3 linked regions of the Oreochromis niloticus genome follow. Each later gene encodes a partner of the first gene's protein in a complex. Links are inferred from orthologs where the notes say so. Each region holds a gene or a part of one and is shown on either strand. Other genes may lie near its edges. The genes, in order: nmt1a, aifm3 and neuronal calcium sensor 1.

Region 1 (7,757 bases):
CAGTGTGGGGAAAGCTTTCTTGGCCAGATTGGTCCCCTCAGAATAAAACAACATTTAAACTCCACAGCCTTCCTGAGTACTGTTGCTGACAATTTAATTCCCTTTATGCCCACAATGTACCAATCTTCTGATGGCTGCTTCCAGTAGGCTACCATGTCATATAATAAAGGTCAAGTAATCGCAAACTGGATACTTGAACATGAAATGAGGTCAGTGTACTCAAATGGCCTCCCAATTCACCAGACTGCAAACAAAAAGAGCACATCTGTGGTGTATTGAAATGGGAGAAATGCATGTGCAGCTGACAGTTCTACAGCAACCGTGTGATGTCATCATGTCAATATGGCCGAAAATTTCTGAGGAATGTTTCCAGCACATTTCAAGTCTACGCCATTAGGAATCATGGCAGTTCTGAAGGTAAAATAGGGTCCAATTCAGTACTACCATGGTGTACCTAACAAAGTGGCTGATGAGTATGTTGCATCCTCTTAACCATGCCCAATTACTGATTCCTTTCACAATTATAGACACATTTCATCAACAGATTGCAAAATAATGCTTTTGTACTGAGCTTTTGCATACTTGAGTCATAAGTACAAGCCTTTTTTCCTTCTGTTCACTCTGTGTTAACTGACCATCTGTGTAAGCCCACTTGCAGAAAAACCCCCAAAACAACAACAACAAAAACATTATTTTATCAATCCCTAAAGATTTGACCTATAAGCTACATATTGGCATGAAAAACAGAACTACGCCATCTGTAACCATACCTAGTTTGGGCACAGGCTGTGTGTCCCAGAACTGGTAACTCCTCCGAGTGGCCTCCTCCATGGTTTTGGCTGGACCTTGGCCAACAGAGAACAGTTCAATGGCCTTTTGGATCTCCTGTAGCTTATCAGCTGGCAACGAATTCACCTGTTTGGGAAGTAAACAGGAATATACATCAAACAAGACCACAGCAAACAGAAGTCAACACTGTTGATCCTATCTAAACAGTCCAAACAGTCTTTACCATTCTGTATCTAAACTGTGATTTTAGTAGATTACACCTTAACTGGACTGTTTTTCCTTTCTTTTTAGGTTAGGTTTATAACCCGTTAAGACAGAAATGCATAAGTTCATGCCTTGGCAAGGGGGTCCTGAGCTGCTTCTGTGGCACCAGATTTCTTCTTCTTTTTCTGCTTCTTTTTCTTCTTCTTGGCGCCAGTGTCGTCCCCAAGACCCCTCTCACTGGAACAGGACAGAAATATATGGCATCCTTTTTAAGACTGATCTCAGAAGAAAAGAAAATCATGTTGGAAATTTATTTTTTGCAATCTGCTTTTAAACAACAGCCAAGATTATTAAACCACCGACAATTCCAACACAATTTACTTTTCATTGCTGATGCAAAGCCTTGTTAGCTGAGGAGTAGCTGTGTGTTTAAACTAACAACAAGAAGTGTAGCTGTAGGGCAGCTAAAGACACAATAAAACCAGTCCTTCAGCTAAAACATACAGAAATTTACAACTCGTTTGCAGCAGTGCAGATTTTCAGAATAACCCTCTTCTGATCTGCTCCAACCAGAAAAGCCACATATCTCCAGCATGCTACTTCATCTTCTGGCAACATACTTACACAAGATAATCTCATTAGTGTCCAAGAGGGGAGAAATGCAGGCCAGTACGTGGCCTGTATTTGTAACACCAGCACAGATGGTGAATCAGATGACATCTAGAAGAAGAGTATCTGTGCGTGTGTGTTTATGTACTGTATGTACAAGAGCCCAGCAAGTGACTGGAACAATGGACAACAAAACATTCAATGGTTTGTTCTCCCACTTTCCATTTCAACAGGGTAGAGCAGTTAAGGGGCCAAACAATTGTTTCTGAGTGCAGGAAGGTTCAAAGACCTGCAGGGGGAATATGTTTAGCCATACAGCAAAGTGGGTTTGAGGTAGAATTCTGCAACATTAGGTTTATTCTTTTCTCAGACTTTATCATTATTCCCTTCTTTGTGTCTTTAAAAACGTAAACGTGTGGCTGTCGGGTCAGATTTCCTCCAGTTAGTGATCAGATTTTGCGAAAACCACCTTACAGAGGCGCATTCTTGTTCTGCTAAAAACAAAGCTCGGCTGCTTTGCCCTTTCATATATGACACAACTTTTTTTTTAAAGATACATTAAGAGAAAAACAGGGTTTTTATCAAAGCTTGTATTCAATAAGAGCAACCGAGCTGGGCTGCTTTAAGATCGCGAACATTTATGTGATTAAAAAGGAAATTCAAAGCCCTCACTTCACAACGCCGAGACCCAAGTATATTATTTTTAAGCTGCGTGCTTTTTGCATGCACGTTTGTGCTTGTTTCACTTTTGATCTTGCGCCGAATCCACACACACACACACACACACACACAGACAATGCCAGGTACGCTAGCATGCAAGCTAACACGCTACATGTCAGCTGGCGTAAACGTGATTTGCATCATTTACCCTTAACATAGCAACGGCATGCGAAGAACACCATAAAAAAATCAACTTAATTAAAAGTTTATTTTTTCTGAAAGGTTTGTGAGTAACGAAAACACAAGTCTTGGTGTAAAATTGGCTTCTAAACGCACTTTACCTTCTCCTTTCTAACCATATACTTAGGAAAACGCTAAGTCCAGCCTATATTTGGAAAAGACATCCTTCTCAGCCAATCGGATGAAAGAACAAGCAAGCGAACGTTGCTACTAACCAATAGGATGAAAGAAAATGGGCTGGACGACGTCTAAGGATGGCCGTCTATCCCGACTGCTCGCCGAGGTTCAGTTTAAGTTAATTTTGTTAAAATCTACAGAGCCGCGACGTATTTTACGCCACCGACCGAGTAAGCCTGCCTCCTTACCCATCGTCAAAGTGGTGCTCTTCATTTTCACAGTCGCTGCAGTGTCCGTGATCCTCTACATCTTCTTTCTCCGGCATCGGTGCTGTCTCATTCTCATCCGCCATCTTCAACCAGGAAGTGAGACGCCACCGCGTGCCCCTTGACACCTTTAAAACAGCCTCGACGCTATTGGCTGAGACACGCAGTGGAGGCGTAGCCATGGTCGTCCTGTTTTTTACCCGACCATTTCCAAATATTTACGATAAACAAATGGCTCGTAATGGAGCGGGCACGGCTTATCGTTTTAAAGCGTCCATTTTTAAGTTTTCACAGCCACAGTAAAAATATATTTTTTGTGTATTTAATATATTTTTCCCTCTAAAGACAAACAGCCATGTGACGTGCATACAACCCAAAGGCAAATGAAAGCGCTTAAGTGGAAACACGTGTGTGATAGTGCAGCTTGAAAGAAAATCTGAGGCCTAATAAATTAATATTACAACAGGGTGAGTAAGAAGGTAAAGTCATGCTCAGACTTAGGAATTGAATGAGACCAACTGAGCAGATTAAGCATTGTGGCGTTGATATTTCTTATTTGAAAGCCAGTTAAAAGGCACTAACAGGTAAAAAATGTACATTAGCTGTTCATTTACGTAGTCTGCGTAATGATTAGCGCCTCCAAAGCAGCCAAAACCTTTTAGGTCCACATCTTATTTATTTTCATAATAATGGGGGCATTAAAGAACCCAGTTTTTGCATGAAGTAAGCTAACGGGACATTCTTCCATTCACGTTTTGCATGAATATATTACAAGTAGTGACACGGTGTTTAATAATGATTACTACAGAAATGGAGCTACAGCTACAGCACCAACACTTGGACAAAATACCCATAGAGCTGCAACATGCACAGTATAAGAAATCATGGCAGTCACATGAGACGATAACATGTGACTGCCAAATAATTTGCTAATAATTATTTCAGAGAGCCGTGTGTGATTACTTTTTATTAGCAAGTCAACATTTTGACCTAGATATCAACAGGGACTATATTACTATATTTGAGGTGTATTTTTGAACCATTTTTGCTGATGTTAAAAACATGTCTGTCATGATTTTAGCGTCAACTTAAGACTTTTTACCAACGTTTTTCTTGAGGGAAAAAACTAATACTGACTTCCTCCCTTTTCTGTTGTTGTGGTGTTGCTGAGTGTCATTCACAACACACTGTGTGTGTTTTTGTATTTAATTAAGTTTACCACAAAATATTCAGTGGGTGGATTAGCTCATAATTCATAGAGATGCTTGGAGACAAAAAGAAGTCCAGTTGTTGGAGAAATTGCTGCCATGCTGTATAATGTGAAATGTCATAAATATTGCTAAGAGTTTCCCTTTTTTGTCTTTACTTTTGGCCTAATCAGGCAGGGACATATCTATTGATAGTTCTAATGTTGGAATGTAAAGATTTATTATGTTTTAGGCTGACAGTTTTAGATTATCACAGAAAAGTCAGACAAAAATTCACAGTACAACCTTCTGGTTATGCATTTATTAAAGTGTCAGGTATCCACAGACAACACTGTGGACTTTTGAAACTAAAAAAGACACTTGTATCTTTTGACAGCATGTGAAAAAAAAATGTTAGAAGTGCTTTATAAAAACATTTTTCTTGCAAACATAACCACTCAAACGCATCCCACAGCTTCTATATTAAACATTAAGAGAGCAAAGTTTTACTTCACTCACTATTAAACACATATTACATTCTCCTCAAAACCAGCGTGACCATTAAAAATGTAATTACAGTAATTACTTTTCATCGCTGGACCATTTTATTATCAGTGAACCTCCTTATAAGAGTATTAAAAGATTCACTGTAGCCTGGAGTAATTAGTGGTTGTATTAGATTGATGCAATTAGTTTTTAACCAGCATTTTTTCTAGATCTGAATACAAGGACAAAAATTGACAAAATGAAAGAAGCTTATATGGAAATACTGTATCGTTAAAATTCAAATATGATTTTAAAAAAGCACATTTGAACGTATCTGAAATGATGCTAAGATAAAATACAAGACATTTAAGAAAAAAGCTTATCTTTGCAAGTTAAGCTTGTCATGTTCTACTGGAAGATGTGAGAACATGTTAACATTTGTCTTCCAGAGAGAATTTAAAAGTGCCCAGATATCTGGAGTATCGAGTACTTGTACATAGCCAACATGGGCCACGGGGCCCTGGCGCACTCACTAACACAAAATTAAATCTGTATTACATCACAGTTAATGCTGCCAATAATAACATCTAAAACACTGACATTTATGGATATTGTCAAACACAGTTACTTACGCTTGGTTTCCATCTCATTGCAATTCTTTTATAGCATCAGTTTAAGAAGTGCTATTTTACTTCAGCGATCATTATTCTTCAAGTTTAAAAAAAAACACGTTAAAAAATAAAATGGTGACATAAAATAAATGATTTTCATTCTCTCTAACAGTCCCTTTTCTGTGTTTTTTAATGAATTACAGTCACCAGAGGGCATGTCTCCATTTCTGACAGACACCTTTCTTTAAGCACTGGGAAGTGGTTTTGTGTAAATTGGACCACTTGGGGTCTGAACTGTAAGACAACAGCAACAGCAGCATTCTGTCTCTGTCTGTTTACACTCGGAGCTCCTCCTTCCAAGGTCCTTCATTGTCCAGATGTCTGATTGTCTTGTTCAGATGTGTGTCACGCTTTGCCTTTGGCAGCGGCAATACGCTCAGCCATAGTTTTGACAGGAACACCTCTGCGAGTCACTTTGACATGGATAAAGAGTGTAGCAGGAGAAAGGCTGGAACCATCTGCCTTCAGTAAGTGAATATGTCGATAACCTGGGTGGGGAGTATGACACATATTAAAAAGAACAGCCGAGAGTGAAGAACTGATACATGACTGACTTGTAGACTAAATCTTAATAAGCACCTATGCGAAAGCTTGTAAAAGGTAAAGTGAACTGCCCCACGAAGTCATTTTTGGTAGCATGATCGTGGTCCTCCACTACAAACCGCACCAGGGCCAGCTCAGGGACCTGCAGCTGGAAGCTCAGAGTACAGTCCCAGCGAGGGTTGAAACCTGCAGAGGGCGCACAAGAGCTGTAAATACACCATCTGGTGCATTAAACCTTTCAAACAAACTAATCATGGCATTGGATTGAAAAGACTCCTACACAAATATATATTCCAAGATTTGAATAAGGTACAAAGAAGCTTTCGGACATCATCTCTTGTCTCCTGTCGCTGCATTATAAAAGTAACACTAATTTACAGAAATTTAAATATTCATAGATAACGAAGATATTATCAATCTGCAAAGAAAAAAAATCAAATAAATTTCTTAAAAAATTTTTGTTGTTGTGGATAAAAAAATAAAACTTACCATTGTTGTCAATGCGGTGGGTTTTTTGTTTTGCTTTATCAATAGCCACCCCATGAATTTCCACCCACACTAGTGGATCCACAATGGAGCTCGCCTTCTCTGTGTTGATTTTTGGCAGCTGTTGTGCAGATATTATCTGAAAAAGCAAAACATAATTCATCATTGTGTGCATGAAATTATCATTAGAAATGTATAAAAAAAAGTCTATTGGAGGCAACTTTTTTGCAAAATCCGAAATTGCAAATTGCGCTAACAGGGCTCGACTGGATAGCACACAATAGCTCTATGTTTAGACTCTAGTTTAGACATAAGGGAACTCTTCCAGAGGAACAACAGAGGATGGCCTCTCTATGATAAAAATGTAAGTATGGACAGTAATAACAAGAACTAAATGACACTACGAAAAATAAACTTGCCACAAAAAGGAAGGAAACTTCCTTTTTCTTCTAACAATGCTTCTTAGCAATAAATTGTATACCGTTGGAAAGCTTCTTTATTTGTCTATAAAAAAAACAACACATACCAGGGGCCTCACAACAGCCTAGTACCTCCTCCTCATGTTGGTGACCAGCTTGGTCGCACACTGCTGTGGGATGGGATGACATTTTTCAACCAGCATTTACTGCTGTTAAACTACCAGTATGTCTTGTTTCTTCAGAATTCAATTATCCAATCCAATAAATGACACCAAACAAGAGTTAATAGCAGAATAAGCTGTTTGGCATTGGCAGAGAAGATTTGGCAGGTTTTTCATGAGTGCAACCCACATTCTCAACACTACTGCTCAACCCACAAATGCATTTTCCTTACAAATTGGTATTCTTCCAGTGGTATATACGATTTATTACAAAGAAGAATTGTTACCACAAAGAAATAATTAACCAAACACTAACTTCCTTACTTTTTATGTTAAGCTTAGAACAGCGGTAGAGAAATTGTACTATAACGTCTATGTCCTCCTTAACAGGTAGTCACATCTGAACGAAACTTTGGAAAAACTTCATCACATATATAGCGGTTATTAAAATCTATATGCTTTAAAAAACGATGGTGAATTCACATTCTTTGGATTTTTGTGTATCTAGATAAATATAATGTTAATTTCATCATCCCCCTGTAAATGTGATCCTTAGTAACAGTTACTCACTCGTATAGTCAGCTGAGTGGGGGTATGACCGGGGCCTCCTCCCGTGTTTTCTGGGTTAAAGTTGGATGTGGGACTGCACAGGAAGCTGGGTTTGAGGACGTATCCACAGCGACCATTTACAAGGAAGCGACCCTGGTTCAGGTCCATTTGCTCCCCGGCCGTCTGGAAGTTTAGAGCCACTTAATGGCACAAAGAGGAAAGTGGAGGGACACGGAATCAGAGATGTCAGTGGGATACATGACATTAAATTTACAGAAATAAAACACGTCTCTGGGTTTTTAAAAAACATTTTTTTTGCTTCCATCTGAACAGCAGCGTAGCTTTCAGTGTGGAGTACCAACCCAGCTGG
Region 2 (7,864 bases), on another chromosome or scaffold:
CTTTGAGATGTTACTGAACAAGGTGTTACTTGACTTGTTAAGCCAAAAATCTAGTGAAAACCTAGTGATCTCCATTGGCTCTAGCTTCTTTTTAATCTGTATTTTTGCGCTGTTCCTTCAAATATCTATGCCAAGCACATTTCCTTGCATTTAGTTAACATCCTTGCCAGCACTGCCAAGTGCTTTCTGTGTAAGCCACTAACTAGAGAAAGCAAAAAAAAATATCAAGTCCCTTTCTGAAGACTGAAGATATGTAGGAAAACTTGCCCCTTGCATGTTGTCCCTTAAATAATTCGTCACCACTGAAAATTTGATGAACAACAAATTGGATCACAAATAGCTACCATACTGGAGCTCCAGTAAACCCAAGATATTTTGTGCAAAACTAAAGTAGGTTAAGCAGATTTGGTCCTCACAACATATGACGCAGATCCCTCACTCTTTCTCACTGTTGGGCCTGTCCCCAAGCAGTGCTAATAATCCTGCCTGCAAACAAGCTGTCAGTTTCACTCACTTCCCTACAAATGCAAAACCTGTTACTGGAATGTCAGAGGGGAGAATTAGCAAAATGCCAACTCCTGGTTGGTGGAAAAGAGGCTGATCTATAAAGTGAACGTGAGTGAAACAAATGCCAGTCGAAAATGCCAGCCCTTTGATGGACACACCCACTGAAATTACCACGCAAACTGTGATAGCATGTGTAACGTTAGCAGAAGAGGAACATGCTGCGATCTCCATATGTACTAAGAGAAGATCAGCTGTTTATTGGCTCATTCACTTCATAACACCTTGACTATTTTAAAACACCTGCTTGGCAGGTATCCTGACAGGTTAGCCTGTAGTTAGAGTTCTCTGATCCTTGGCTGATAAAAGGCCTCATGCTGCTTAATATTTGACCACGCTTCTTTCTTTCCCTCACAGTCAGCTCTTCAGGTTCGTGAAATGCAAGATAAGCCTGAGGAGTCATCCTGCAATTGCATAAACCTGCTGCTGAGCTGACAGGCTCTTACTGACCATTTATTTTATTTACTAGCAGTTTAATGAAGTCTTCAGTGCCCCTGACAAATGTATAAAAATGAAAGCATTTTAATCCTTGATCTTTTTTTGTTGGTGTCTTTTTGCTGTTCATGTGTTAATTGTTTGCAGTGAAAGGAAACAGGAGGGAAAGGGAAGGGCAGCAAGTGTCCCAAGCCATGTCTGAAGTTAAAGGTGTTCCCTGAAATGCCGCCAAGCTTCTGATTGACTTCTGTTTACTCCAGTGCCTACGTGTCACTGACTATGAAAGAAAAAAGTGTGGATTACAGTTACCACAATCCCCATTAGGAGGCTCCAGTGTGTGTGTTTGTGTGTGTGTTTAATTTCATTCAGATTATTCAGATCAATGTTTGTGTATAGTTTTGCTTTTGTTTCCTTTGTGAGGTGACATCCTTGTTATGGGCAAGATTTGAAGAAATAAATTCAGCTCCATGTGACGCCAACAGAGTGCAGGCTGTGAAAAAGCCTTGACTGAAAATTAAAAAAGAAACGGGACTATAATGTGTGATAAATTAACTATACATTTACCTGATTACAGAGTCAGGTACAGTCCTAATTAAGCTTTTAAGGGGAATTCAAAAAAACATTACTGCTTCACATGATACAGCAGCTGCCACGTGGTTCAAGAAAACAAAGACCAAATCAGCATTCAGCGTTATTTACTGTTCAACAGCACAGAGTTCATGAAGTAGACAAGTTCCTGTGGCTTTATGTTGACTCAGATGCCAATATGTTTTGTATGTATTTATCTGTAAAGCTTAAGTTGGTTAACAATAGCACTACATGGCTCTATCAGGTAATTTTGCTGCTACTTTGAGCGATAACCTCTCCATGATGTCATGGAAAACTGGAACTGAGTTCTTCAGAGGGGTGTACACCCCTACAGGGCAGCTGTACTTCCTTAGAGTAGTTCTGCAAGTGACCAGTTTCTCAGCACACACACGCAGACGCATACAAATTATGATTGGAGATGTGCTGTGATATATTCGACCTGTTTTCATTTTTGTAAAAGTTACTGGTGTATATGGACTGGAAAACATTATCTGATATGCGTGAAGTTTGAGGGATCAGAATTTCTCCAAGATTTTCATGTATTCCACTCATGAGTGTGTTTTCACTAACAAACTGATTTGTAGAGAAACAGTGGATGTTTCTCAACAGAAGAGCCCCCAGAGCAAGTAACTTCCTTATAGAAGTACTCTATGTGACCACAGTGCGCCAATGCAGGCAAAACCCACTTGAAGAAATAAGTGGGATCTCGCTCTCTCTCACGCACACACACACGCGCGCGCGCGCGCATGCAGCATCACATAAACACATATAAAGTAATTACCTCTAACTCTGAGTCCCTGGTGTAAAAAGAATGTGAAGGGTCTTACCCGCGTGCATGGAGCAGGTGCACTGAGATCCTGTCAAACTCCCTGGTGCTCAGCCGTCCCTGCGGAGCACGGCAGCATATTAGCACGGGTCTCCTCGCAGTCTTCTCCCTCTCCGGATTGGCTCTCTCCGCTAGAGTATTCCCAGTCTGCGTGTCCCTCCGTACCCTCCTCCGCACTCCTCTTCTTCCTCTTGATGCAGCAGAGGCTCCAGTGAGTGAGTGAGTGTGTGGGTGAGTGTACGTGTGTGTGCGCTCTGCCCCTCTCAGAGTCCCCCTCAGCAGCAGCAGGAGCAGCAGGAGCAGCACACTGAGCCGACGGGTTGTGGGAGTTGCTCTGTTTCTCTGTCCGAGCCTGAAAACGCAGCACGGAGGACCTTTGCCAGTTTCTCAGCTGTATGCGGTATTGATGGAGTTGCTGAGGGGATGCTAACACAGCATGAATTCTCACCGTTCCCTGCTCTCCTCCACCCAACCTTCCTCTCTCTTTCTTAAAAAACACACACGCGCGCTCTGTGTGTGTGCGTGCGCGCGCCAGGCTTGCTTTTCTGTTCAGACCATTTCAGCCTCGCCTTCAAATGTCAAAGACCTGACTTGCCAGCTAAACCTGATCAAAGACTTAACTACCCTCCGCAAAGCACTGCCCCAATGACTGCCCACCTATTACACTGGCTGCTCCCTGTAAATGCTGCTTCCACGAGCATCATCTGCTGTTAAAACTTACCAGTGTTTGGATTTATTGTAGTTACACTGACCACCAGGGAACATAAAATAAACACCGAAGCCGCACTTACTGTGTGTGTGTGTATGTGTGTGTGTGTGTGTGTGTGTGTGTGTGTGAATGCTGCACTTCTATCAGTGTGTGCAGCAGAGGGAGAAAGCCTCAAAGTGCAGTTGTTGCAGTAAATCCTGGGTTCAGTGAGGGGGTAGGGTGGAGCAGGATTACAAAGGTATAGCCTACTAAGTCTTATAGAAATGAGCTCTCGAGATATTTCCATTCCTTATGCTCCCATTGTGGGAGAGATGGGTCAAGGTCATTCACCTGATAATTGCACATTCATTTCTATGGAAATGATGATGACAACAGTGACACAGGTGATGATCAGCATGCAGCACCAAAACCTTTATGGTGTTTTCAGAATGTCAGTGCTTTCACTTCAAAAAACACAAAACAAAACAAAACATGGTTATAAAAGAATAGAGATCAAATTAGATCATTTCCACTCTCCACATGGACTAATTTGATGTTTGACAGCTGACAGGTGCACACGCACTGCTCTTGTTTGATGGAAAAAGCATATTTGAGTGAAAGCCAGGGTGGGGCGTGTGGATATGCACGACAAGATGACCTATCAGACTCGCCCAGTGTGCAGGGAAGGCCATCTGACATCACTGACACATCACTCAGTTTAATTGAATTCCCAGGGGTCACAGAGAGCTGCAGCATCCAAAAAGCCAGATCAAGAGAGCAGGGAGAAGTGAATGAATCATTAATGGCTTATAAAACAAATGCTCTGCCAAAATATTAATGCCAGCAGTTATTAGGGGTAGATTTACCCTGTTAATTAGCTTTAAATCAATCAGTAAGTAAATGCTAATAACGTACATCGCCCAGCCAAAGAAACATCAGTGTTTGACCCCCTTTTTTGGTGAAATGAAGAAACTGAAAAGAATAAAACAAAACAGTCTACATCAGTTCTGACAATAACGGTGAGCAACAGAGTACATTAAGCTCTAAAAGGAGCTGATGGCACCAAGCCCCCTCCCCACCAAATGAAATTCAACACAGAGCAGCTCAAGAATGCAACCCCTGCTCATTTATTCACTCCTGCACTGCAGTGAGCACTCTGACTCTGCTCACAACTAATGCGGGACATTTTCATTACGGACTCGTTTTCATTACGAACTTAAAGAAACCTTTAAGTTTCTTTAACTTTCTTCATGTTTCAGTTCAGCTGAATATCATTCTTCTAACTAAAATATACAAATAAAATTCATCTGAAAGAAATCACCACAAGTGCAGCTGTAAATTACATGCATATTCACATATGTTCTTCCATGGAGCTTAAATGGATAGATAAATATCCTTATAGGTGCATTACATTTGGACAAGCTGTGCTGTCAGTAAAGGGAACTAAATGTCTGAATAGCCTACCAAAGGCATTAAAGGCGCGGTCCACATACCAGGCACTTAAGGCACATCTTAAACAGTAAGTGATCCCAAACCATCAGTTACTTCTGTCTGATGAATCATTTATTTTTGTTTTTGTTTATTAGAAAGTTTGATGTCACCTGCCCCAGGACTACAGATGTTAATGAACAGTTTTGCTATAATCTGGCATGGCTACACTTTATATTTCTGGTATATTGATGCTGATTAGCAAGAAAGAAAGCTCGTCTTAAAAGCATTACTGACTTTTAAAGACTTTTAAAGCATCAGAAAAAAATACTCACTTTATTGTAGTGATTGCCTGTGGTCAGTGTTCCTAAACAAAACTCTCATAAATCGGTTTTATGGTGATAGTAGGTTCCTTTCTGGTGTTTTGAAACTTTATGACATACTTTTGTGCACTTATTGCACACATCCCTTGACATTAAAACTAATGCATGAGTAATTCAACCAAAAAGTTATTTAGACTAGCTTTTACCGTACCATTAAGTGAGGTTCCAATGGCGTGTATGTTCTGCTAAATAAATTGTCCTCCAATCCTTTAACAAGAATAAAAACTACAGCAGCCATCTATTGTCTCGCATTGTTTTAATAAAATGTGTCCGGTCGCACACAGTTGCTTCAGATTTTTTCTTCTAAACAGAGATCACAGAAAAAAAAGTTTGATTTCCAGTTTGAAATCCAGTAAAAAAAACAAAAGGGCCCCAAAAACACTTCAGTGCTTCTCGGTAGAACTACTGTAACCTTTCACAGGCTGTCATGCTTCCATATAACGTACATGAACTCGCAGATATTACACATATGGGAATGTCCAAGTTATAAAACCTCCGTCTTTAGGTAGTGCTGTGTCTTTTGCTTCACCTGTGGGCTGTTTGGTACACTCGATGTCTGCCGGTCGTAGTCGCCCATGCACACAGCTACAAAGAACAAAGTCCCTCCGATGACCAGTGCCAGGCCTCCAAACCATCCGGAGAACATCGCCTCCCCATACTCCCATCGTGGCATCACATCAGGAAAACCCTCGTCCCAGAAGTCCACCACAGTTGTGTAGGCCACAACAGACACAGGAGCCAGAGTAGTGAGCCCAGACACCCAGGACAGCACCCCACTAAAGATGAGGAGACTTCTCTTCAGACCAGGCGGCTCCATACACATCTCAACCCCCTCTAGACCCGGGAAAGCAGCCAATACAGCTGAAGCACCAGTACCAATAGACACTGACATGAGCACCCTGGAGATCTGCAGGTCCATCGGCAGTCCCATGATGGAATCGTAGGCCTTACACTGAATTCCCACTTCCTCGGTGTAGAGGCAGGTGTGCCACAGCCCAGAGAACCAGTTCTCCACTTCATTGAGATCAGAGTTCATTGTTTTCCAATGTGGAAGGAAGGTGGTGATCAGAGATGTCACCAAGCCTCCAACCGTCACAAAGAGCGCGGTCCTTTGCATCATTTTAGCTGTTAGAAAAACCATCTTCTGCCTTTGTGCGGTGAAGTCTGTGCTGTGATTCTGTGTCCAAATCTAAGTAAAGCTAGGCAAGCCATCCGAGTGGCTCTGTAGCTCGTCCCACCTGTTGGACAGACCTGGACAGCCCACTTCTTACTTCTTTAAGAAAATGCACCTGATAAGTAGGAGATAATCTGGTACCACTGCATAACAACGGCCATACTGTTTGGTTTCAGTGTTCAATGTCATCCCAGCGAACAACGAACTCAGTATTTAAATGAAACCAGATATGAGCAGAGGGATTCTCGGCCGTGTGTGTGCACAAGTCAACTTGAATGAAACATGAGCAACCTGTGCATGAGGGGCGCATAAAAAAGAAAGACATAAAAGTTACTGTTTCACGTGACTGTGAAATTCAGTACAACTTTAAAAGTTTCAGCAAAATTAGGTGAGGTATGGACTTTCGTTTTTGATTATATATTATTTGTTTAAGTTATTTATTTTGATTTGCTAAATTTCTCAAGTATCTCTACTGTGAATAGCACTTTGTGCTCACTGCAGCAGTACAAAAGTCCAAAAGAGTCCAGCACTTTGTGAATTCCTCTGTGGGTTGTTACAGATCCTGCAGTACAACTGCCAGCTTGTAGAAAACCAATATAATGCCTCTGCATTTAGGACAAACGTTTTGTCTTAGCCCCATGAACAAAATTAACTATAAACGTTCATAAAATACTTTTTTTAAATTTTATTGAACTCATACTGGGATTATTAAGGGTGACCGCAGTACATATATAAGAACCTGTAACACATCTCAAATTAATAATTAAAATTAAACTACTGAATTTAATTTAGATCACGTGAGTACACCAAAATCGCTGCATTCCAAAACCTTGCAGATTCAAAAGGAATTCATCCGCTCAAACCAGGGAGCGTTGTCTGAACTTATCATGCATAGATCTGTGGAAACTGAGACCCCTGACGGACATGCTGATTTAATGAAAGGTCAAGGGCTGACCTTCAGCTTTTTCACACTGTGTTTAAGTTGCACTGGCTTTAGTTTGTAACAATAGTCTGAATTTTAGATTAGCACCAGTATTCAAGGCCAACAAAAAGTGTCTTTGAATATTTCACTTTAAACATCAGCTGTTTAAAATTCCTACACCTTTGAGGCATCCACTTCTCATCTAAGCAGCAATGGTGACGTATTTACTGAGTAGGCCATATCCTGCTGGACGGGATGAGGACTGCTGCCTGTTTCAACCCACTTTAACCCCAAACACTAAAAGCAGCAAAACAACCTTCCCGCTGATCCAGTCTAGTATGGTCCCTGCATAAAGACAGTGAGGAAGGCCAATGCTGTAGTTTTAGGCAAAGCTGACATAATGGAGTTATTGGCTCTTTGCACAGATGGCTGTAGGATTTAAAAGCAGGTTAAAAGTTAGGTTTGGGCTCAAGAATAAAGTCGTCTGTTAGAGAGCCCAGAAGATTTGTGATAACACAACCTGACAATAGCTTCTAAAGAGGTCAAATCAATCACTTCTGTGGTTTCACAAAAACTTCAGTTTTTTGACACATTCCTTTGTATTGATTAACTGACAAAATGGTTGCGCAGAAACCTCAATAACGTTGGTATACTGGTGAATCAGAGCACAGACACTCAGAACACATGACTCATTCTGTAGGAGATTTATTAAGGCTTCGAGTGCATGATAACAGAATAATGTCACTAAATACTCAGGTCAGTATTATAGGATACACAGATTTTGTTAATGGTAAGAATTATCACAAAGACATGTGCCAGTAACAGTACTTAACACAGAGATATATTATAAATATTT
Region 3 (7,453 bases), on another chromosome or scaffold:
ACTGTCATTAAGCAGCCAGGGGATGTCAACTCCCACCCACACCTGCACACCACGGTGCTCAAATAATAATAATAATAATAATAATAATAGCAATGCTGTGCTCCAAAAATAACACACAAGTGGTTAATATAGTGGATACCAAGCAGACATTGCTGGTGGTAATTAGAAATGTGATCCAAAGTGATAGCTGAGCAGACATTGGTAAGCAACGGCTGGTAAGATGGTAGAAATACAGTCAATTTGCACCCTAATGCATCAACGGGAACAACGATAGAAGATATAATTACAAAGTCACACCTTCGCTACAGTTTTTGATTGGAGGGTCAGTCCCCTTTCTGTGAGCCCACCCCATCCATCGATCTTGATGCAGGAATGCAATTTATAAGTGTAGCAGCACAAGCACGGCGTGAATTGATTTACCCTTTGTATGTTTAAATTTATCAATGTCTGTCACATTAGAAGTAGAAAATACAGCATGTTTACAAGCGCAACACATAAAACCACACGCTCATCTGTAAAGAAAAGCTATCATTACAGCTGCCGCAAACTCTACTATGTCCTCAGCGTAACTTAAAGACGCCGGTTGCAACTTTTTACTCAGCCTTAGCTTAGTAATGTCTGCGATACATTCAAAAATCTGAAATTTGAAACAAATGAGGAGATCGTTCGCAACTGACATCTGCTCTGTCAGTGGTGAAAAATGTATAGCATCCCAAAGCATCCCAGCAGGCAGCGTTATTTACTGTTAAGCCTGTGTGGTGCACAGTGGGTGGAAAATGAGATTAGCAAACCGCAGCAATAAACTCTGTATTATGTATTCCTATTGCAAGCTGTATGTTCTTTAACCTCAGGCCAACAGGCTATGACAAGCTCACAGAAAAAGTTTCTGCAAAGTTTTTCTTTGTAAGAACAAGCAAAAAACAAACACACTTTCAGTTACTCACAGTAGGTTTTCCTTGTCAACTCCTCTACCACCTCTGGCTTGAGCTTGCTGTTGGATTTACCCATGATCTTCAGCTCTCTTCGACGCCTCCAAATCCACGCTGGCACGTATCACCTGTTACTACGTCCTCGCCAGTCTGCTCCTCTGCCAAAACACGCAAGAGAAGTGGGGCCAGTTTAGGTGCGAAGACACGGGTGAGATAGGAGAAAGACACTTTTATTTGAGTTTGCTTTGACAGAAAAAGAAATAAAACACTCCCATTCACGCTAATCGTTCTGTGTATATCACTCTAGCTGTGGTCATGATCTGCTCAGCCATCAGCACTCCACACAGACGAGTCAAACCCCAGGGGACCACGTGAAGAGGACCCAGCAGGTTGTTGAGTCTATACGAGCGCTGCGGAGCGCCTATGTGTCCGCCTCATTTCTTCACAGCAGCCCGTGGGCGAAGAGTGGCGTTTGGACACGTTGCTACCTTCGTCCTTGGATACAAGAGTCACTCAGTGGCTGGGTTAAGCACGCTCGCTCCCTCACAGTCATTCTCTGTTCTTCTCACTCCTCCCACCCCTCCTTTCCCACCACTATCTCTATTGCTCAGGGTAAGTTACTGTAGAAAAAGAGTCCTCCCTCTTGACAGCTGAGATAAGGAGGTGTGTAAACTAAAATACAATGAACAGAGCTCGACTTGGATGCCCCCCGCTGCACTTTGCGCTCGCTCTAAAACGTTAGCTCTAATCCTTGGAATTTACACAGACACCACAGTGTAAAGAAACAGTTTTAAAAGGCTTCAGTAATAATTTCTAGGGAAAAAAAAAAAGAAGATACCAGAAAGACGCCAAGTCTGTTCACGGTTCTACAGCTCTGATGCCAACTGAACAGCACAAAAGAGATCCGGTGCTGCTCTTAAAATAAGCATGTGAGCTGTCTACCAAGTTTAGATGTGTATTTGAAGAGTGACAGTTTTCTTTTTTTTTCTCCTCCATTCTGACTCATAATTCTCCCTCCTTTTCTGGCCTCATGACAACACGGCATGGTGATTTCTTCCTCTCTGTCACAGAGATGGGGATAATGGAATTTCTTTGTACCGTGGGCCGGGCGTTGGCATGCACTGACGGTTAACCACAGCAGCTGTCTGAGCCACAGAATTAGAAGACTACTGTACGCACTATGCACCTTCACTGCAAACATCTGTACTCTGCGTCCACGGCCAGCGATGTCTTTGCGAGGGATGCCACGCTGGTAATCACCATTTTGCGTTTGCTCAAGCCTTCTGGTCCTGGATATTACACAGACACTATGAAAATAAACAAACAGACAGCAGTTACAAAGGGAATGACAGGCATGTGCTGTGTTTCATGAGAAATGGACTGGACTGTCACCTAGAGCCACAGACACATGGGCACTTGACTGGAAAAACACTCAAAACAAGACGACCTTTCTAGTGTCTGCCTAAGCTGCTGAGTGTAGCCAGCAGGCATCAGACAATATGCAGCTAGAAGAGTGCTGTCAATTTAACTGTAGAGGCTGCTATTAAAGTATTCTGCGTTAAATCAGCACAGCCTAAACGAGCAGAAAATGAAGTCACGTTGTTAAATGACTGATTCAAACAGCTGGCTAAGACAAAACAGCACAACTAAAATACATACAATCTCAACAAACGTATAGCCTGGTTAAAACCCTCGAAAAGCGCTTTGTTTTTATTAATTTCAACGTGTTTTGATTGACAGCAGCGAGAAATACATACAGTCGCGGCAGCAGCAGGTGGGATGTTGCCTGGCAGTACCATAGCAACCCTCAGTTTATGGCTACAGTGCGGGAAGCTAGTCATTGTACTCGAAACGTTTGGTACCCATGCTGTTCCGTGTAGCTAGTTGACAAGGAAAAAAAAAAACAGAAAACACACCTTTAAATGAATAAAGAAAAAAACGTTCCCATATAAAGCGGCTTCTGGTTACCTTAGCCACAAAAGCGGAAAGTCGCGGTGAAAAGAAATAATTTGCCCCACAGCAGAAAGCCGCTGTCCGACGCCGTCTTCCTTCGCCGAGTTCCGGAGCGAGCGACTCGCTGCTGCGCGGATGGCCGTCCGTGCTGCTCTGATGCCGCCGTCAGGGAGTGACGTTGCTGCCTCTGCTGCATGGCCCCGACCAACTCAGCTCAGTGCCAGAGACACTGACGTCGCGGTACCACTGGACACACACTGACTCTTTGTGTGCTTTGAGAGCCTTTACACGTGTCACCGGGCACATAGCGAGAGGTTAACTTTTCGACTCATATTCACATTATATGTAACGTTGTTTACAGGTCAGTCTGCCTGCCCAGTTTTACACACAAAAAAAGAAAGAAAGAAAAGGTCGAAAGTGGTGGCGGGGTGTCTTGTTTTTCTTTATAACACTCAAATTAGCCACTTACCCTTTTTTAATGCCTAATCACTGCACTGGATTCAAAGTTAGTGTTTGTAACTTGTGAAATCTGAGTTTGTTGTTCAAACGGACAAAAATTAATTGTGGCAAAGGGTTGTATTAAAAAGGAATAAGTTACATTTTTAACATAAATATCAAAGTTCCTTAAGTAAAGGGGCTAAAACGATTCGGAATAATCTAACTTTTAGTCCTTCGTCGGGGTCAGTCAAGGTTGAGCAACACTACAATTCCCACAATGCCATTGGCAGTCCTGCGTTTGAGGTAAAATTCCAAATTTACATGATATCTGATTTACAGCGTTTGGCCCAAGTAACTACCGTTAATAATACCGGTTTGTATAAAGATCACTTTTTTAGTGTGAAGTAAAGAAAAGTTTATTTATTCATTCATTTATTTATTTATTTATTTATTGCTATGTTTAAAAATAGCTACAAAGTAATCCACTTCCATATCTGCACTTGTTTAAACTTTTCAGTATTCTCACACCAAACTAAATAACACAGAAATGATTAGCATTTGTTAATGGCGTTTCTCATGATCACATCATACATATTCAATGACTCATTTAAAAAAAAAAAACACCTAAAATCAATGGCATTTTAAATGCAAGCTATTTTCAATCATTTCAAATGTCAGCAGCAGAGCAGCCCATACTCAAAAAAAGATCACCTGCCTCTTTTGCTCTCTCTGTTCTCTCTCTTTCCTCCATTAACAGTGAATTGTCAAACTTAATGTTAATGGTTGATAACACGGCAGGTAGCCAAGTTACACACTGAAATAGTTTTTGTGTTTCGTGATATGTTTGGTTTAGTTTTTTTAAAGCTTGGTTACAAAACGAAAACATCAAGTCATGTTTGGAGAGACTGATCTGCTAGCTTGTTAAAAAGCCCATCTACAGTCTCAAAGCCTCCCTAGGGCAGCAAGCCGTTCAAACAATGGGGTGTGAATAAATGATGTGTGTAAGTGGGTCGTTACATTTTCAGCAAAAGGCTGCTGAATCACTGCTGAGTATGAACTTTAACACTCACAGGCCTTTGGTCAAAATTAAAATAACTTCACCAGAGGGCTTCAGCATAATGACAACACGAGTTAAAGCGTGACCACCATGGAAACGTGAGAGGGATTATTCTGAGGTCCCCCTGTTGGTGAAGCGGCTACTGATGCCATAGTCTGCTGCTTGATAGGTATGCAGGTGCACACATTCTCTAAACATAACACCATACATGCTATTACATATATGGTTTTAAGTTATGTTCTTGAGAAGACAAATGTGTGTGCTCACTGCTTTTCACTTGCTTTCTCATCAGGACCCAGACTATCCAATAAATGTTCAGTGAATCCAAGTATTCTTATATTTATCCATCCATGCATCTTCTCTCGCTTACCCAATTCAAGGTTGCAGTGGAGCCTTTCCCAGTGAGAAGTGGAGTACACACTGTACTGATGCAGACCGGTATTGTTATTTATTCCTTTCATATCTTAACTGTGAAATGTGTTAAGGGCCACTTGCAGAACATTATTTAACCTTTGCCAGGTTCTACAGGGCTTTGTAATGAGTTTCACATAAGCAGACACACACATACACACACTCGGCCGTGGAGCTGGAATGCAAGGAGCTTGTCTGACATCGGGAGCAAGTTAGTTCAGTGTCCTCCCCAAAAACACTACTAGTGTGGAGGGCTCAGGCATCAGAAGTTTATCAAAGCTTATACATAGCTGAATACATGTATATCACTTATGAGTGAGTTATTTTTAGTAACATAAAATGTTGACAGTCTGAGTCAACCATGGTTAAAAAAAATATTGTGGTCACTGCGAAGAAAAATACTGTTACTACTGAAAATAGGGTTCGTAAGGTACTATATTAACTTCGTAAGGTAGGGTCAAGTTTTTGACCTTCACAGAGAAAGTCTGGGTTCAAATTACAGTGAATTATGCTTAATAAGGCTTGCTAAAAATACAAATTTCAGGTAAAAAAGGAAAACGTGACTGCAGACAACTTTCTCCAACACATGTATCTCCCACAGAGAGGCTCGCCCGACTTGTCTGCTTTTCTCCGCAGCACAGTTTTGAAGCTGAATACAGACTGGGATGTTTTTTATTGCACATCTTCATATCTGACTGTGCACACACAAGCTCTAATGACAGATTTGCAGGTCTTGTACACGTCCACAAAAATTAAGAGACATTTACAAATTTGACTAGAGAGAGATTGGGAGACATCTGTGCACAGGTTTCCAAATAAAGGTGGTAGAGTAAAAGCCTCATTATTCATCAGTTATTTAGGGAGTAAAGTTTGTTAGCCTTGAGGGTAGGGATGTGCATGATTTTCTAATATTAGTCACTGAGCTACAAAAAAAGAAAAGGTTATCTTTTTTGGGGGGGGGTTATAATATGATGGATGGTCTTGGAAGAATGCCCATCCCTTCTCTGCAACCACGCTTATATGGTGGTGCAGTTGCTGCTGGTGTCAACATAGACTGTATTTAAAAAGTGGGCTTGGTTTCCGGGTCTGAAAAATGACACGTAAAAAGTGAAAGGGGGGTGGGGGGGTCGTTTTGTTACCAAAACAAGAAAGATTTCAGTAATCTCTGTGGGAAATACAAACCTTCAGTTGCTTGATCTATGAGCCCAGCGAATACTTTCCTAATGAGTTTTATGGTCTCAGTGGCTAGTTTATTAAACACAGCATGATGTTCATTCTAGAAATGATGCTCCCTGTTAAAACACAGCAATAAAGCAGCATTTGCCTTGGGGCAGGTCTACCTTGTGATTGGTAATTTCTTATCCCACGAGTGGGCCTGTTTTTGGCCACACCCAACTACGACTGGTTTCAAAATGCTAAGATGTTATCTATCACCTCAGCCCTTGGGATGAAACTTTACTAACCAATGGGTGAATTCTCAGTGGTTGCATACATCTCTTATGTACAGTCTGTGTGTGCAACTCATTTATGTTATTAAAACAAACTGCACAATCCACCCCATTTTTTAAAGATTGTTCCTTCTTTTCCCAAAATTCATGAAACTATCTTCTGTTGAATTACATGCATAATCTAACCAAAAGACAAACAAGCCACAGTAGAAGGTCTGTGGCAGAAGTAAATAAAACTGAAAGCTTGAGAGTGGGATTGTAAATTGAGACACCATACCAGCAAACTTCAGGTAAGGTGTATCCAAACATAGGCTACTATAATTACTGATCTGGAGATTGCAGGGCCCTGCTGGGAAAGAGAACAAGATGGGAATAAGGGAAAATGATTTCAGATACATTACTTGCTAAAAGATGGGGAAAGGAATTTTAATTGGTCTGAAGAAAAAAGATTAATGCGCTGCAGTTTTCATTTATTGATTTTTATACTGAAGGACGCGAGGACGAGTCATGTAACCAGAAGGCTCATTTGTATTTTTGCTCCCGATTCCTCTTACTCATGCTCGAGTCCAAACTTTGCAGTCAGACATCTCCATGCGTAGCTTATTAAAATTCAACTCCCCCGAGCGTCGTGTAAACAGATGTTCAGCTATTGGATTTGTTCATTAACAACTGCCACGCCATCATTCTATAGCCCGATAGGAGCTTTCTGTTAATTCATGGGAGGGTTGGATCAAAATGTAGGCTGTCTGACTTGGCCATCTTAGTATTCAGTATCCTTCCCTGCAGTTCCTTATTGCAGTCAACTGCAGTTACAGTAGCCCCGTAGGAATAGAGAGAACAAGGCTGAGAAATAGAGAAAGAGGCCATGGCAAAAATGGGGCAAATTGCTCTAAGATTTTTTTGATCTTTCTGGATCATTTAGAACTTTAGAAGCCTTGTTGAGTTTACTAAACTAAAGTCTGCATCTTGTATCAAGTTCAGTCTAAATGCTGTCTTATGTTTGTCTAATTTTAGATCACTATGTTGAAGTTAACTTCAGTAGGTATTGCAGCAGGTAATAAGGTAAGGTTTGCATTGTCTGGATCTGTTTGGAAGGCAATTGCATTACCATTGCACCACCCAGCTGTATGCTTATACATACAGTATCTGCTTTGTGATATCACAGACTTTTAAACTAGTGTTTTTGCTGCTGCTGTCAGTTTTGTATGATCATTCTG

The links.
Region 2: the proteins of nmt1a (region 1) and aifm3 are in contact, whole or in part, in a crystal structure (PDB 6SJZ), measured with the Homo sapiens proteins. The link is inferred for Oreochromis niloticus from reciprocal best matches to the Homo sapiens genes NMT1 and AIFM3. Residues at the interface, in NP_066565.1 of Homo sapiens: Tyr180, Val181, Glu182, Asp183, Asp184, Asp185, Phe188, Arg189, Phe190, Asn246, Thr282, Ala283, Gly284, Tyr296, His298, Phe311, Tyr401, Ser405, Ile469, Gly470, Asp471, Asn473, Leu474, Leu495, Gln496; in NP_001373743.1 of Homo sapiens: Gly2, Cys4, Phe5, Ser6, Lys7, Pro8.
Region 3: the proteins of nmt1a (region 1) and neuronal calcium sensor 1 are in contact, whole or in part, in a crystal structure (PDB 5O9S), measured with the Homo sapiens proteins. The link is inferred for Oreochromis niloticus from reciprocal best matches to the Homo sapiens genes NMT1 and NCS1. Residues at the interface, in NP_066565.1 of Homo sapiens: Tyr180, Val181, Glu182, Asp183, Asp184, Asp185, Met187, Phe188, Arg189, Phe190, Tyr192, Asn246, Thr282, Ala283, Gly284, Arg295, Tyr296, His298, Ser300, Lys310, Phe311, Ser312, Tyr401, Leu403, Ser405, Tyr420, Gly468, Ile469, Gly470, Asp471; in NP_055101.2 of Homo sapiens: Gly2, Lys3, Ser4, Asn5, Ser6, Lys7, Leu8, Lys9.

What each region holds. Positions count from the first base shown.
Region 1 is NC_031969.2:27,687,941-27,695,697, reverse strand, and holds the start of nmt1a (glycylpeptide N-tetradecanoyltransferase 1), read right to left. Parts: upstream 3,083-7,757; 5' UTR 3,068-3,082; coding exon 2,868-3,067; intron 1,231-2,867; coding exon 1,125-1,230; intron 916-1,124; coding exon 771-915; intron 1-770. Other genes in the region: plcd3a (1-phosphatidylinositol 4,5-bisphosphate phosphodiesterase delta-3-A), read right to left, coding at 5,575-5,717, 5,809-5,958, 6,262-6,397, 7,409-7,587, 7,750-7,757.
Region 2 is NC_031977.2:17,815,050-17,822,913, forward strand, and holds the start of aifm3 (apoptosis-inducing factor 3), read right to left. Parts: upstream 3,099-7,864; 5' UTR 2,415-3,098; intron 1-2,414. Other genes in the region: cldn26 (putative claudin-24), read right to left, coding at 5,397-6,053. UniProt on the Homo sapiens protein: Induces apoptosis through a caspase dependent pathway. Reduces mitochondrial membrane potential.
Region 3 is NC_031977.2:11,093,599-11,101,051, reverse strand, and holds the start of neuronal calcium sensor 1, read right to left. Parts: upstream 3,051-7,453; 5' UTR 2,898-3,050; intron 2,810-2,897; exon of another isoform or gene 2,687-2,809; intron 2,237-2,686; 5' UTR 2,116-2,236; exon of another isoform or gene 2,109-2,115; intron 1,088-2,108; 5' UTR 1,009-1,087; coding exon 945-1,008; intron 1-944. UniProt on the Homo sapiens protein: Neuronal calcium sensor, regulator of G protein-coupled receptor phosphorylation in a calcium dependent manner. Directly regulates GRK1 (RHOK), but not GRK2 to GRK5. Can substitute for calmodulin. Stimulates PI4KB kinase activity.